2 linked regions of the Diceros bicornis minor genome follow. Each later gene encodes a partner of the first gene's protein in a complex. Links are inferred from orthologs where the notes say so. Each region holds a gene or a part of one and is shown on either strand. Other genes may lie near its edges.

The links.
Region 2: the proteins of PPARGC1B (region 1) and PPARA are in contact, whole or in part, in a crystal structure (PDB 3SP6), measured with the Homo sapiens proteins. The link is inferred for Diceros bicornis minor from reciprocal best matches to the Homo sapiens genes PPARGC1B and PPARA. Residues at the interface, in NP_573570.3 of Homo sapiens: Ser154, Leu155, Leu156, Gln157, Leu159, Leu160, Leu161, Thr163; in NP_001001928.1 of Homo sapiens: Val284, Thr285, Thr288, Glu289, Lys292, Phe297, Leu302, Asn303, Gln305, Val306, Leu309, Pro458, Leu459, Glu462, Ile463.

The regions. Positions count from the first base shown.
Region 1 is NC_080740.1:66,821,796-66,829,265, reverse strand, and holds the start of PPARGC1B (peroxisome proliferator-activated receptor gamma coactivator 1-beta), read right to left. Parts: upstream 3,092-7,470; 5' UTR 2,949-3,091; coding exon 2,871-2,948; intron 1-2,870. UniProt on the Homo sapiens protein: Plays a role of stimulator of transcription factors and nuclear receptors activities. Activates transcriptional activity of estrogen receptor alpha, nuclear respiratory factor 1 (NRF1) and glucocorticoid receptor in the presence of glucocorticoids.
Region 2 is NC_080764.1:4,342,020-4,349,357, forward strand, and holds the start of PPARA (peroxisome proliferator-activated receptor alpha), read right to left. Parts: upstream 3,021-7,338; 5' UTR 2,843-3,020; intron 1-2,842. UniProt on the Homo sapiens protein: Ligand-activated transcription factor. Key regulator of lipid metabolism. Activated by the endogenous ligand 1-palmitoyl-2-oleoyl-sn-glycerol-3-phosphocholine (16:0/18:1-GPC). Activated by oleylethanolamide, a naturally occurring lipid that regulates satiety.

The sequences.
Region 1 (7,470 bases):
ATCCTTAATCTGCTGAATTTCTGAACTTTGGCCCAAATGAGTAAAAGTTAAGTCTCCTACACAGACGTCCTCCCTCTGTCTAATCCTGGATTAGCCACCAAAGACAACAAAAGTCTTTTGCATAAAGACAATCAATTATCTTTTCATTCACTTTTCCCACCCTTTCCAAAGGGAGAGATGGAGGAGGGGAGGGTCAGTGAGGGTCTAGGGGAGGAGAGGGAGTTGCAGGAACAACCAGACATCTCACATGCAAACAGTGCTCACCCCCACCATCTGGCCATTGGCTTCTCTTGCGAGCGCCACCAGCCCCATTTGACAGATGGAGGAAAGGAGGCTCAGAGAGTTAAAATGGCTTGCTCCAGGGTCACCCAGCCAGAAAGTGGGGAAGGCGACTCCACTCAGGCCTTCTGACTCCAAGTCCAGTGCTATTTCGAGGTAACACACAGGACCTGGAGTCAGGAGGCCTGGGTGGCTCTGTCACTCGCTGGCTGCGTGGTCCTGCACAAGCCGCTCACCCCTCACAGCCTCTATCCCCAACTGGAAAATGAGGAGGCACAGGATGGCCTGCCCAGGTCCTCTTCCGGCTGGGCTCTATGAGCCTTTTAGGGGTGGTTGCAAAGCTCCCCCTATCAATTACATTTCCCAAGTTGGGCCGGCAAAGATCACCAGAAGATCCCCAGCCTGTCACGTGGTTACATAAAAAAAGCAAACGTCCCAGATTAACTTTCACTGCACTGCTTCTGCTGACACCTGATTACCCAATTTTCTAGTTTCCTTGGGTGAAATATCCCTGCTGGGTAGGCCCGCTGGGCGCCTAAAAGGGAAAATAATTAATTATTGGTGAGCCGAAGAACCCTGAAGATGGAGTTAAAACCTGGGGTTGGGTCCAGAACGGGCAGTTCTTGCTATGAGTTCCTGAACAAATCTCTGGCTATTTCAGGCCTTCTTCACCCGCATCTTAGTCGAGAGGGCTGGAGACACCCCCAGACAAGTGCGAAGGCTGAGGACAGAACTTTCCCAGGGGCAACTCTGCCCCGCCGGCTCCAAGTCCCCCTAGCCCCAGGCTGTTGGCTGGGGCGGGGGACGGGGGGCATCGACCTTCCGCACAGACACGGGCGCGGGACGTGTGACGGCGCCCGGTGACCGCCGCGGGAGCTACACTGCAGTTTCGTCAGAGGTAAAGGTACGCGCCCGGCGCGCGCGGCGTGTGCACAGAAACACACACACCCGCGCGCGCAGACCGCTCATCACACACTCCCTCCGGCCTTGAGAAGCGCGATCACACGCCACCAGCCCCATCGACCCCTGCCCCGAACCCACCCGAGCGCGCCCGCCACCGACCACGAGGCCCCGCGGCTCCCTGACGCATGGACGTCTGCAGCGAGCGAGGGCCGGCCTTCTCCGGCGCGTGGCGGGCTTCCTCTCGGCGACACCCCGCCACGCCGCGCCGTCCTAGCCGCCAGCCGGGAGTCGCCACCCGGAGTCCGCCCGGAGCTGAACGTTTCAGCTGCTGCGTCCGCTCCAAGTCGCGTCTCACAGCAAGGAGTCAGCTTGCAAACCTCTCCCCGCCCACCCGGTCCCATGACAGCTGCTGCCGCCCAAAGACAGGCAGATTATAACAAGAAGCAAAGTTTCTCTCTCTCTCCTCCCTCCCTACCACCCCCCCGCCTTTCCCCTCCCTTCCAGTGTTATGCAAAACGAGCCGGCACGGGCGCTCCGACTCCAGGTACCAAACCAGCCCTCGCGAGCCGCGCCCGGTTCCGCCCGGCGGCCCCTCTCCGCTCCCAGGCGTGCGCCCGCATCCGGGGTCTCATTCTCGGCTCCACCGCATCCCCAGCCTCCCGGCTACCCGCAGCCGCGCGCCCGGAGAAAAAAACCATAACTATGGGGCCAAACTTTATGCTTGCAACAGGCATGAGGTGGGGGAAACCGGGGAAGGGGTGGGGGGCGCGCACGCCTTGTGCAGGCATTTTCGGTGGCTGCTTGTCCCAGCAGCACCCCCCCACACCCGTCTCCAAGCCACCAGCTTCCTCGCCACTACCCCCCCCCCCCGCACACCAGAACACCCTCTCCTGTCACGCGCGTGTCGCCTGTGGGGCTCCCAGGCGCAGCCAGAGCCCGGGACGCCGCCTCGCCTTCCCTTCCCCCAGCATCTCCGAGCGCGCACCGGGGCCGCGCGCCACAGGGGGACCCAGGCGCCCCCAGACAGTCCTTCCGCCCCCATCCTGCCGTGCTTTTCCCCCAAGAGGCTCCGCCGCGTAGCGAAACCAGGAAGGTGCTATCCCCGCTCGCATGTCCACGTGCCTCGCAGACCCCTATGCCCTTAGCAGGCAACCGGCAGGAAACTCTGCGCTGCGGGCGCCGAAGGGGAGCCGCGGGGGGCCAGCAGCAGCACTCGGGGGACCGGAGACGAGAGGACCAGGGGACTCCGGGGACCGGGGCAGGCGCCTGTGTCGGGGCCACAAGTCCACGTGAAAGTACGGCAGCAAGTGCTGGGAGCCTGAGGGCGCGCCTCCAGCACCCAGAGCCAGCCTGAGGGTCCCCCACACGTTGGCGCGGCTCCACCTCCCCAAGGAAGTGCGGTACCCCCCAGCTCTGTCGGCGGGGGTTGGGGGGCGGACTCCAAACGACCAAGGCTAGACCCTCCCCAGCGGCCGTAGCGCCAACGCTCCGGCATGCGCGGGGGGACCTCCAGCTCCCCGCCCCCGGAACGGAGCGCATCGCAGAGCGCATGGAAGAGGGGCTCTGCAGCCTGGAACCCCCGGTCCCCCCACTGCGCCCACTGCTGCCTCCCGGCCTCCGCGGCTGCGACGGCAGCCCCCGCAGCTCAGCACCTCTGGCCCCGCGCCCGCGGCCCCTACTGGCCATACCTGGGTGTCGGCGAGATAGTTGAGGAAGAAGGAGGAGAGCTCCTCGTCCAGCAGCGCGCCGCAGTCGTTCCCCGCCATCTTCCAGCCGCGGCTGCAGCGTGCGGCGGAGTCAGCGCCGAGCCGGCCGCGGGGGAGGGAGCCAGCGAGCGAGCGAGGGAGGCGGGAGGAGGGAGCGAGGCCGGCGGGAGGCAGAGGGCGGAGCTCAGGCTCCGGCTGCCGCAGGGCCGGCGGCTGCGGGGCGGGGCCGCGCGGTGCCCGCGCTAGCCGGGGGTCGCGCCCCCACCTTCCTGCGCAACGTCTGGCGCCGCGATCCTCGCTCGCAGCTTCCAGCCGGGAGGAAAGCTCCCGCAGCCGGATGATGGTGCCCCAGCCAGCAGCCCGATGCCTGCGCAGCAATGCGGGCAGCCCCTCGCTCCTGCCAGAGCGAATCACGTTGCGTTAGCGCTGGGCGGGTCCTTCGAGACAACCTGCTTCTGCACAGCTGGGGAAACTGAGGCCCGGGAAGGTAAAAGGACCTCTTTTGAAGCCGCAGTGCACTTCAATAGCAGGAAGACAAAGCCCAAGTCTGACTGCCCCAGAGGCTTGAGTGTCTCTACCCAGACTGCCGTATGTCAAGAGTGGAGAAATCAGGGAAGGCTCCTTGGAGGGGGTGACGTTTTTACCTTTTCCTTGAAAGATGCGTTGACCCATAGTCTAAGTTTGACCCTCTCTCTCTCCCGTCTCCCCTCACTTCCCTCCCCCGCCAAAAAAAACACACAAAAAAACTGTCAATGACTTCTCTTACCATGGCCTACAATGCCTTGAAGTGGCCAAGCTCCTGGCGGCTTCCTCTGGCCCACTGGCCTTCTCCCAGTTCCTCAGATGAACCATCTCACAAAGGGCCTCTATACACGGAGTGCTGTCTCCTGGCCAGTAGCCATTCACCTAGTAACCACATCTTTAGGACATCCTTCCCCTCCGCCCCTCAGATTGTCAAGCCATTCCCTCTCCCCCCACCCCTACCATCATGGGCTCTGTTAGCTCCGCAGGCCTTTGCTTTAAAACGCTGGTCACACTGGGGCTGGCCCGGTGGCCTAATGGTTAGTTTGGTGTGCTCTGCTTCAGCGGCCCAGGTTCAGTTCCCAGGCTCGGACCTACACCACTCATCAGCGGCCATGCTGTGGTGGCGATCCACAAACAAAATAGAGGAAGATTGGCACAGATGTTAGCTCAGGGCGAATCTTCCTCAGCGAAAAAAATAAAATACAATGCTGGTCACAGTTGCCATTTTACATTTGTTTCAGTGAAGATTTGATCTTTGTGTCTTTCCTTACTAGACTCTAAGGCCCATGAAAGCAGGACCTGAATCTGCTTTTGCACTTGCTATGTCTCCAGTGCCTGGCACATAGTAGGTGTTTAATAAATAATGTGTTAACTGAAAAACCCAGAGGATTTTGATCCCCACCGCCACCATCGCACGTTGTATAAATAAGGAAACTACCCAGAGTGGAGGGTGCACATGGAGTGAGTGCTCTCCTTCTGGAGAGCCAGAACGGGAACTCAGGCCTCCTGACTCCAACCTTGAACTCGCATCATAGTGCCCTGCTGTTTGCCAGGCAGGAGATGAGGGCGCCGCCTGGATTAAGGCAGGAAGATTTAGGCGCATTTATTGGGCATGCCTGCCTCCTGCCCTCCTCCCACCCTGCACTCACAAGGGCGGCCCCACCCTGCCCGCCCTGCATGGGCTCCCTCCCTGTAGAGGAGGAAACAGGGAGAGTCCCCGGGACAGTACACCTGCTCAGACTTGAACACCAGAGCACGCGCTTCCTTCTTCTCCAGTCTGAGGTTCCCAGAACTGCACGGCAGGATTTCACTTTTTGGGCCGTAGGCGTGCTTTTAAGGAACAATGAATTCTAACAGAGAGCCTACATCTAGCCTTGGAGCACTAGCCTGGGAGTCAGGAGTCCTGGGTTCTGGTCCAGCCCTGCCACATCTTGTTCCAGTGTTGGGCAACTCGGGAAGTTCAGAGCCTGGGCCCTCTGGTTAGACTGCTTGGTTTTGAACCCCCGCAGGTCATTTAGTCTCAGGCCTCAGCTTCCTCATCTCCACAAATGGAGATCATAGAATGACTTACTTCATAGGGATGTTATGATGATATGATGATTGAGGAGACAATATATGGAAAGTGCTTGGCGTGATGCCTGGCCTCGTGGGGAAAATGCTAAACTCTGATGCTCTGTTTCCACATCTGTAAAAATGAGGATAAAATACATATCCCTTGAAGGCACTGGCCAGTGTTACTTTCGTTTCTTCTGGCACTTTTAGGCTGCCGGCTAGCATGTACTCCGACAGATCTGGACTTGAGTCCTGGCTCTCACTAGCTGTGTGCCCTTGGTCATTCACCTAAGCTCTCTGAGCCTCAGTTTCCTCCACGTAGGGATCTGGTGAAGATGGAGTGAAACAATGCATGTAAGTGAATGGCTTGGCCCTGCGCCTGGCAGAGAGGAAGTGCTCATCCTCTGCCTCATCATCATCACCACCATCTCCAACATCGTCACCATTAGCACTAAAGACCTGAGCTCCCCGATGGCCCCACTTTTCTGCTGCTGCCCATGGACACCAGAGGCAGAGCCCTGTGGGACAGTTTCCAGAGGTGTCCCTGCCAGATCCATCCTGGCCTCTGAGTGGTGATGTGCCCCTTAGAGCCTAGAGGCCAGACTTGGAGAGTCCCCAAGGCCAGCCATCTCTGGCTGTGGCCTTGCAGAGCTTCAGTACCAGACAGGGTCTCCCAGGGAAGGCCTCAACAGTGCTCGCCCAAAGGCTTTTGTCTTTAAAACTCTGGTGTTGATAGAAAAGCCTCAAATTGCCCAGCTTCGGGGACTTTCTCACTGGTCACTGTGTCCTCAGAGGGGCTTCTGGCTGGCAAGAAACTAGGGTGAGAAGGCACCTCCCCTGAGATACCTAGCTTCCTTTTCAGAAGCATCTTATCCCAAGACTTCCTCCATCACAGATCACCACTAGAGTCAGCCTCATCACTCTCTCTGGTCCACAGAGGAACTGGAAGTTCTCCACTGAGATTAGAAGCCCTCAAGAAACGTAAGGTGCTGGATGATCTTGTGCAATCGTGCAATTTGCTTCCCTCTCTGAGGCTGTTTCCCTGCCTGTAAAATGAAAGGGCTAGGGGACCGGCCCCGTGGCTTGGCGGTTAAGTGCTCGCGCTCCGCTGCTGGCGGCCCGGGGTTCGGATCCCGGACGCGCACCGACGCACCGATTCTCCGGCCATGCTGAGGCTGCGTCCCACATACAGCAACTAGAAGGATGTGCAACTATGGCATACAACTATCTAGTGGGGCTTTGGGGAAAAAAAGGAGGAGGATTGGCAATAGATGTTAGCTCAGAGCCGGTCTTCCTCAGCAAAAAAAAAAAAAATAAAGGGGAGGATTAGCATGGATGTTAGCTCAGGGCTGATCTCCCTCACAAAAAAATAAAAGAAAAAAATGAAAGGGCTGGGCTAAACGCACCTCTCCTGAACACTCCAGTCCAGATATGATGGCACTTTATAGGTATTAGCCAAAGCTTGGCAGCTTTTCTGTACTGAGCATGTGCCAGACACATGAGTTCATAGCATCCTGAGTGGTCAGCATTGTGATGTCCATTTTATGACTGAGGAAGCCAAAGCTTAAAAAGGGTGATTAGCCCAAGACCAAGCAGTTAGAGGTACAGCTGAGATTTGAACCCAGGTCTGTGCACAGTCCAAGCCACAGACCCTTGAAAGGGATTGAGAAAAACCTCACACCAGCAACCAGGAAGCTAGAATGGTGGCACATTTCTTATTTTATGACTTTCAAGTGGAGGGCAATAATAATGCTGAACTTGGACTTCATGTGATTGACTCCTATCTTCTCTGCCTTTCTATTGGCCTCACCTCTCTCAAGATTAATGAAAGTTTGCCCTGCACATACCCTGGGCAAAGCCCAGACTCCCCCAGGCTCCACGGAAATGGCTACAGCAAAATGAATTTATTTAACTTGAATATTTTAGTCACTACCAACAAATGCTCAAAAGTAAAAACATCAGCATTTTCTCTCCTCCGTTAATAGGAAGATGCTTTATTCAGACACTACAGCCATGGTTCTCAAACTCTGGAGGGTGTGTGGTCACCTGGGCCCTGTCACCAGAGATTACAATTCAGTTGGGCTGCAGTGGGCCTAGGAATCTGCATTTAATAGGCTCTCCTAGATGACTCTGCTGCAGGAAACCACCCATCATTCAACAGATGTTTAATGAGCACCTACTCTGTGCCAGCCACAGGCACCACTGTGCTAGGTGCCTTGGATTAATCAGTGAACACAACAGCTGCCATCCCTGCCCACATTCTATTCAACACCACTGCTTAGTAAGTTTTTGTTGAATGAGTGAACGAGATAGGACATGGGTCCTGATAATGAGTGAGGTTTCCTGCCAGCCACCCACAACTCTGTGATTCTATGGTCCAGGCCAGGGAGCCAGACACACACCTATTTCCCAGCTTCTGTCCGGGAGGCAGGGACTCAAGCCAAGAGGAACTAAAAAGTCACCTGCTTTGTATTGTTAACTCTGAAAGCCATCCCCACCTTCCACT
Region 2 (7,338 bases), on another chromosome or scaffold:
AGGAATAGCCCTTTGCATGGTCTAGCTATACCCGAGTAAGGACAATGCAAAATGTATCACCACCAAAACCTGAGGGCATGTCGATGTTCAGAGAAAGCACGAACCACACATATTTTGTTGTTACTGGTGTAGAATTCTTGTTTACCTATTCAAAAAGAAAAAGAAAATTTTTTTTGTGTATGGAGGGGAGGTGTGTTTCTTTCTGAAAGCCTTTGAAAATCGTAAAATGGTCAGAGCAAAAATAAGACAGGGGTCAGGTGTGGCTGAGTGAGAGGTGCAGGCAGTTCAGGGCGTGGCTTCCTCCTCTGAGAGACACCTCCTGGGCTGCATATGGTTTTTTGCATTTTATAAAGAATCTTCATGGAGCCAGCCCTGATCACCTAGCAGCCAAAGGTCGGCGTGCTCCACTTCTGCAGTCCAGGTTCGGTTCCCAGGCGTGGAACTACACTACTCGCCTGTCAGTAGCCATGCTGTGGTGGTGGCTCACATAGAAGAACCCAAACTTACAACTGTGTACTGGGGCTTTGGGGGGCAAAAGAAGAAAAAAGGAGGAAGATTGGCAAAACATGTTAGCTTAGGGCAAATCTTCCCCTGCAAAAAAAAAAAAAGGAATCTTCACGTAAGCCACCCCTTTGAGCCTTCCAACCCTTCAGAGGTAGAATGAAAAGGAACTCCGTTTTCTGATGAGAAAACAGCAGTTTAGAGAGGTGGACAAAATCCCCAGGCCTGTCAGGCAGCAGCTACAGGACGAGAATCCAAATCTCATGATTAATGGCCTAACGCCTTTTCCACTATAACAAGCCGCTTCCCTGACGCAAACCAAAATTTTCAAATGTTTTTTCTTGTATATATGCTGATCTCAACACAAATGCAGCTCAACCACAAACAGCTACAACAGGGCTGACCCAGTGAGGAGTAAATTCTTCACTTTTTAGACACCACAATGTCACCACTACAAGATGCTAAGTAATTAAACACTCTAGAAACAAAGAACAAACATACCTCCAGATAATGAGCAAATCAGACTAGTTATGTCTGCTACAGAACAGGCCGGAAAATTTGCACCATGTGTCCATTTCCCTAAGCAGCTCACTACATGCCAGCAACAGAAATCCTGGGAAGAAGAAACAAGTTCTTTTAAATAGGTCCCATGGGACATCTAGGACTTTTCCTATTTGGTTCTTGCCTTAAAACTATCTTAACACCAAGGTGGAAATTAACATTCTTTGCCCAATTTTCCCTAAGCACATGGCCTTAGCGGTGAGCTGGCTTGTTCTAGGTAGTCAACAAGGCAGAAATAACAGATACAGCAAATGTCTATCCTACAAACAGAAACTATGCCTTTTTCTTGAAATGTTTATGAAATATTTAAAAGACTGACACTATACCAAGCCACCAAAAACAGAAATGCAAACAGAGGCCCTCAAATTCCAAAAAGGCAGAAATTCTACAGGCCACATCCTCCAACTGCCACGTGACAAAATTACTACAATTGTTCAACAAAAATGCCAGCCACTTGGAAGCTGACACTCAACCTATGTGCCACTAAGACTATTTCCATTCACACACAGAGACCGTGAGAGAGGAAAAGAGAGGAGAATCTGACATATTTAAAATCTGTTCACATTAAGCAAAGAAACATTTTAATAAAAATTTTTTAAAAGATTACCTAAAGAATATTTATTACAAAAACACAGATGCTCATAGATAGCATGCAAGAAAAAAAGCACTGTTACCAATCACTAAACAGAAAGGTGCTATGGCAAAAACAGTTCCCTCTCCACACTCCAGTGTGTCTTTTAAGATGATGAGGATAATCTTTAAGTTTCTCTTTTACATTCTGATATAAAAATCAGCTTCATGAGCAGATCCACAGCTGCCTTGCTCAATACTGAGCACAAGAGCCCACAGCAGCTACTCAATAACCATTTATAGAATGAATGATTAAATACACACACACACACACACACACACACACACATATAAAGGAATTGGCTAAATAATTATTGTATCTAAACACCACAAAATATTATATAGACATTTAAGATGATGAAGCACAAACACATTCATTCACATGGAAAGACTTTTCATAACCTAATAGTCAATAAAGTAGGTTACAAAATAGGTTATATAGAAATGTTTTTTTTTTCTCCTCTCTCTCTCTCACACACACACACAATGTTTAAAAATCTGTTCACAAGCCTGACAAACATGAGCTAGCAAAAAAAAAACAATTTTATGATTATGGAATGACTCTTATTATATGTCTAAGATGTGAGAAAAGAGAGAGAGAATTTTTTTTCTACTGTCAATTAATTTGCCTTTCCTTCAAAGTTGTACAGAATTTTGTCAGGCTCACTGCCCGGCCCCTCATGGACAGTGACCTCTCAAATCTGCACCATCCGCCCACTTCTCCACGCTGTCCGTGTCCTAGCTGATGATAGTTCTAGACCTGACCTACTATCCCAGCAAGCCATCTGCTTGATATTCAGATTACAATTACGACAGCTAAGAGGCCCGCATGCCGTTCTTCACTTGTCAGCCTGTGTAACTTCACTGTCTAAGTAGTAAAGAGTTCTCACAGTTATATGTAGTTTTCGATTACATGGAACCAGCCTGCCATGAAGAAATGCAGTTGCTAGCGAAACTGACACACTAAACTTTTCAGAACTTAAAGGGGAATCTATCCACATTTATCTTCCTTTTAAAGCACTGAAAATATATCTAAGGCTGCATCACAAAGGAATAATTAACCCCCAAATTGCGAGTCTGTAGGGCAACGGAAGTAAACACTTAAAGACTTCGGTCTGGAAACACGAGTAAATCAAACCTTCTATTTTACCTGTGATGACAACGTCTCGGGTCTGCGCTTGCGGTGCCACAAACTGTTCCTGCACAGGGGCGGGAGGACCTGTCACGGCGGGCGGCCTTGGCAGCGAGAAGGTAAAGGAGGAAATGATTGCGATATGTCCTCTGGATTCTCCCCAACTCTCCACCACCTTGGAAGAGGAAAGTCACCGTGACCGGGCTTATTCAACGGCGAGGGGGTGGCAGGGCCGTTCCCAGGAACACCCTGTGCCCCGCCTCCCCTCCCCATTCCCCGCGCACCCCTTCCCAAGCAGCCCTGGGAGCGCAGGGTGGCTGGGTTGAGAGGGTCGTGCAGCCCCGAAGGTCCCAGAGCGCCCCGCGAAACCCAAGACATTCTACAACTACAGGCTTTTCTTAGAAAGAACCTTGACATTTGGGGCACGCCGTCCCTTCTTTAAACTTAAAAAGGCGAGGAAAGCACAGGAGGGCAGTTGTCTTCTGTTAGTCCGGGGTGGGCGGAGGGGGGCAGAACCGACCCTCGGGACGTCCGCCAGCACCACCCTGGCCCCTCGGGGCGGCGCAGGGCGCGCGCTGGAGCCTGCTGGGCTCGCCCGGCCCGGCCCCACTGGGTCGCCCGACTGCGCTCGGGCGCGAAGCGGCGCAGTTCCTCAAAGGCGCCCCGCGGCCGGGGAACTAACCCGCGTGAGCTTCTCCCGCCGGACCGCAGCCGCGGGCGCACGGCCCCCGGGGTCGCGCCTGTCCCGGCCTCGGGCTACCTAGCCTCGGGGATCCCCGGGGGTCTCGGGAAACGCCCCCCAGTCGCTGACGCCCAAACTCGACCGCACCGAGGGAAGGGCGCGCCCGATGCCCCCGCCTGGTGGGCCATCCCTCCCACGCGACAACTTGAGGACCCAGTGTCTCCGAGGTCCCCGGCCTCGCCGCCGCGCAGCCCAGCCCCACCGACAGCCGCGGACGCCGGGGCTCCGCGTAGGCCTCCGGCGCTCGGCCCGAGGGGCCCCTGGGCCCGGGGATCCCCCGCACAAGCCCGCGGCGGCCGCCCCAGCCCCGAGCCCCGCGCATGCGCCGCCTGGCCCCGGCCTCTCCGCCGCCGCCGCCCCGGGTCCCCGGGTAGGGGAGGCCCGGCCCGCGGACCCCCGCGCGCGTGCCCGCCCGCCCGGCCGCCCCTGGGCACCTGGGGCCGCGGTCCGCCGCCTGCCGGTCCGCCGGGCGAGCGCGCCGAGGGAGGCGGCGCCGGGCAGGGCGCTAGCGGCCGCCTCCGCCCACGCCGCCCACTGCCCCCGCCGTGGGGCCGCCGCGTCCCCTGCCCATGCCCGGCGCCGCCTCCCCGCGCCCGTGCCAGCCGCGCCCCCGCGGCACGCGCCGCCCCTTGCCCCCCCGCGCGACCCGGCAGCGCGGGCGGCTAGCGCGGGTGGGCGGCCCGGAAGCCCCGCCCCCGGGCCTCCCGTCCCGCCCCCGGGCCTCCAGCCGCGGCCCCGGGCGGGACACACCCCCCCGGACGGCGGCGCCCGATTGGCTCCCCGCGGGGCCGGGGCGGGGCCGCGGCGGCCACAGGGCCGCCGTGGGTGGCTCCCACCTCGTGCCCCACGGCAGCTGCAGCAGTGGGGAAACTGAGGCCAGGGAGGCGGAGGGACTGCCAAGGTCACCGGGCGGGCTGGTACGGCGCCGGCATGGCCCACCGGGAGGGGCTGAAGGCCAGGCGGAGGCGGGCGCCAGGCTGCGGGACGGGTGGAGGTTCACGCCCAGCGCCCTGGCCACGCTGGCGAGGCCCTTCCTCGCTCCGGGAGCCCGGCTCTGCCGGTCTGTACGATGAACTGGCCTAGACGGGGGCCAGGCGCGGGTGCCCTCGATCTCCGGGGTGCGCGGGGTGAGGAATGGGGGGCGGGCATGGAAGGACCGGACCCCGGGACCCCAGGGTGCCAAAGAAGGAGAAAGGGAACGCGAGCTGGGAGGACCCAGTGTCAACAGGTGGCGAAGGTGCCGGGGCGGGTGCGGCGGGCGGGGGAACGGGAAGGGTGAAGGGCAACGGGGACGGGCGGGGGGAGGCGCTGCTGACTCCGACCACCCGCTCCCCATCCCACGGCCAGCTGCCAAAGAGCCGTGTCCCCTCCCTCGGTGCCTCGGGGGTGAGGGGCTGACTTTGTGCCCAGCCAAGGCGCTGGGCCTCTGCCAGCGCAGGGGGAGGTCGCGGCCCGACAGCCAATAGCGAGGAGCAAGGGGGGCGTGGGGGGAGCTGCAAAGCGGCTTTGTTTGCGCGGCGATGCCCGAGCTCCCCGCGTGGAATGCACAAAACCCCGTGTGCCAGCGCATCAGGACGCCCCTCCTTTGGGAACGAAATGTGTGCTATGCCAGCCCTCCTCCCTGCCCTCCCTGCTCCTGCCACTGTTCTATTTGTAGCGACCAGAGCCCAGGAAGACCTACTCCGGGCAGGAAGCACAGTTCCAACAAATGCCTGGATTACGCACAGACACTGGAGACCAGGCGGAACCTGTCCCTTTCACAGATGTCTTATAAACTCACACTTGTTGGTTCACTGCATACCTGGGTGAACTTTGCCCCACCCTGCACACACCCACACAACTTTCCCACTTGCACACCAAGTCCAACTTTTATTGCACATCCTAGCAATAGCCAATATTTGTATTAGGTTCCAGAGCTTAGGAAGCGATCCCTGTGCATTATATCCTGGATATCTGTAGGTTGGGCAGGCAACAGTATTATTTATTTATGTGGCTAGAGGCCATACTGTGCTGGGTGTCATGGATGTAGCAGCAAAGGAAGCTGCCCAGCGGCTGCCCGTATGGGCTCATGTCCTCGTGAGGACATCCAGACTCAAAGACATCACCTGATATACTCCAGAGCCCAGGCTGTCAAGGACCAAGAGTCCAAATGCAGGTGTGTTGGCTTCTTTTCCCAGAGGCACTGTGATGGTCTGCCATAAACCTAGTTCAACCAGGCAGTTGGAGAGACCCTGGAAAAGTTGTTTTGAACGAGGACAAAGGAAGCTGTGTAGAGTTCAACAGAGTAGTGTGTACACCCAGAAGACAGAGAGAAATGATGTTGTTGGGGATCCCGAGGTTTTAGGGAGAGAAAACTTGTTTTTCATGCGTGTGTTGAAAGTTGTCACGAACAAAAGCACCAGCCAGGCCCCACAGGTAGAAAGTGGAAGGACGTACAGGACTTTTCTCTTGGGAGTATCCTGGCCAGAAATGGCTCCATACATGCTGCCCCGGGGGGGGACCCTGGGTTCCTGTTTGCTGTGAAGACCTGGTCACTCACCCAGCATGGGAGAAACTGTCGCAAAGGACACCCCCCGCCCCACCCCCAGTTCCAGGAAGTCTCTCCCTCTCTCTTCACCTCCTTCAGCGTTGATGAAGTATAGGTTACACAACAGAACAGATGGCCTTCTGTGCAGGCACTGAGCAGAAATCTATAACTTTGGGGACAAATTAGCACTCGTGAAAACATGTCTGAGCACCACCTGAGTTCCTCTTTGGAACCTTCGTAAATACTGGGAGCGTTTGGGGACGCATGTATCTCAGTTCATAGCTTCCATTTCTTTGGTGCTGATGCTGTTTCAGGGCCTGTTTCCCATTTTCTAATCTTGAGGATGTTCAGAGAGATGATTATTATGGTGCCCACATGACAACAGAGAGGCACAGAGAGGCGCCCACTGCACTGGGGCACATAGACCAGTATCGGGGCCCAGGATGGGGGGTGGGTCATGGAGCCCACTCCTGCCCCGCTGAGCCACTCCTGGATACACCACCCTGCCCAACCCCACCAGCGCAGCCAAGGCCCTTCCTTGGCCTCTCGGGGGAGGGGGAATCAGGAGGCTGGGACATTCAGAGCAGGGGAGGGGGTCGCTGGAGGAGGCCACCTGAAGTGATACGGGTCTGCCACCAATGCTAGCAGCAGGTTAGACCCCGAACATGTACGCAGGTAGGGTCAGCTGTGGTCAGAGAGAATGTGAGACCCGACTGCTGGCCCCAACCCCTGCCCGGGCAAAGCTTCTCCCATGGGTCTGGGGGTCCAGGCCGATGTCTGTCTGTTTGCCCGGCAGCTTAGGTAAGCCCTTTTCCAGGAGCTGTCCAAGCCCTCTGCAAGTCACTTGTTTGCCCATTGCTGATCTACAAAGCTTCCTGATGAGGTGGAATTTGTGCTTCTGAGTGTCATCAGCCAGGGCAGTGGCCTCTGATCTCCTGGAAGCATGCCTTCAGGTCAGGTGGTGGAAGTCACTGGGGACAGGGGATACGCTGAGAAAGGGAGAGTTCACTGTTGGGAAGTACAGAGCTGCTGCATGGCCCACAGCTGCACCTCGGTGGGGACCAACCATGGACATGGGCGTGGCTGCTATCCTAGTAATGACAGGAAAACCTCACGGGTCCAGGTGACGTAGTCTTGTCACTGTAAGGCACGGAACTCGAAACAGTCCCACAAGGCAACTAGGTTCGTCCCCATTTTACAGATGAGGAAACTGAGGGCCAGGAACGCTGTCACATGGCTGAGGTC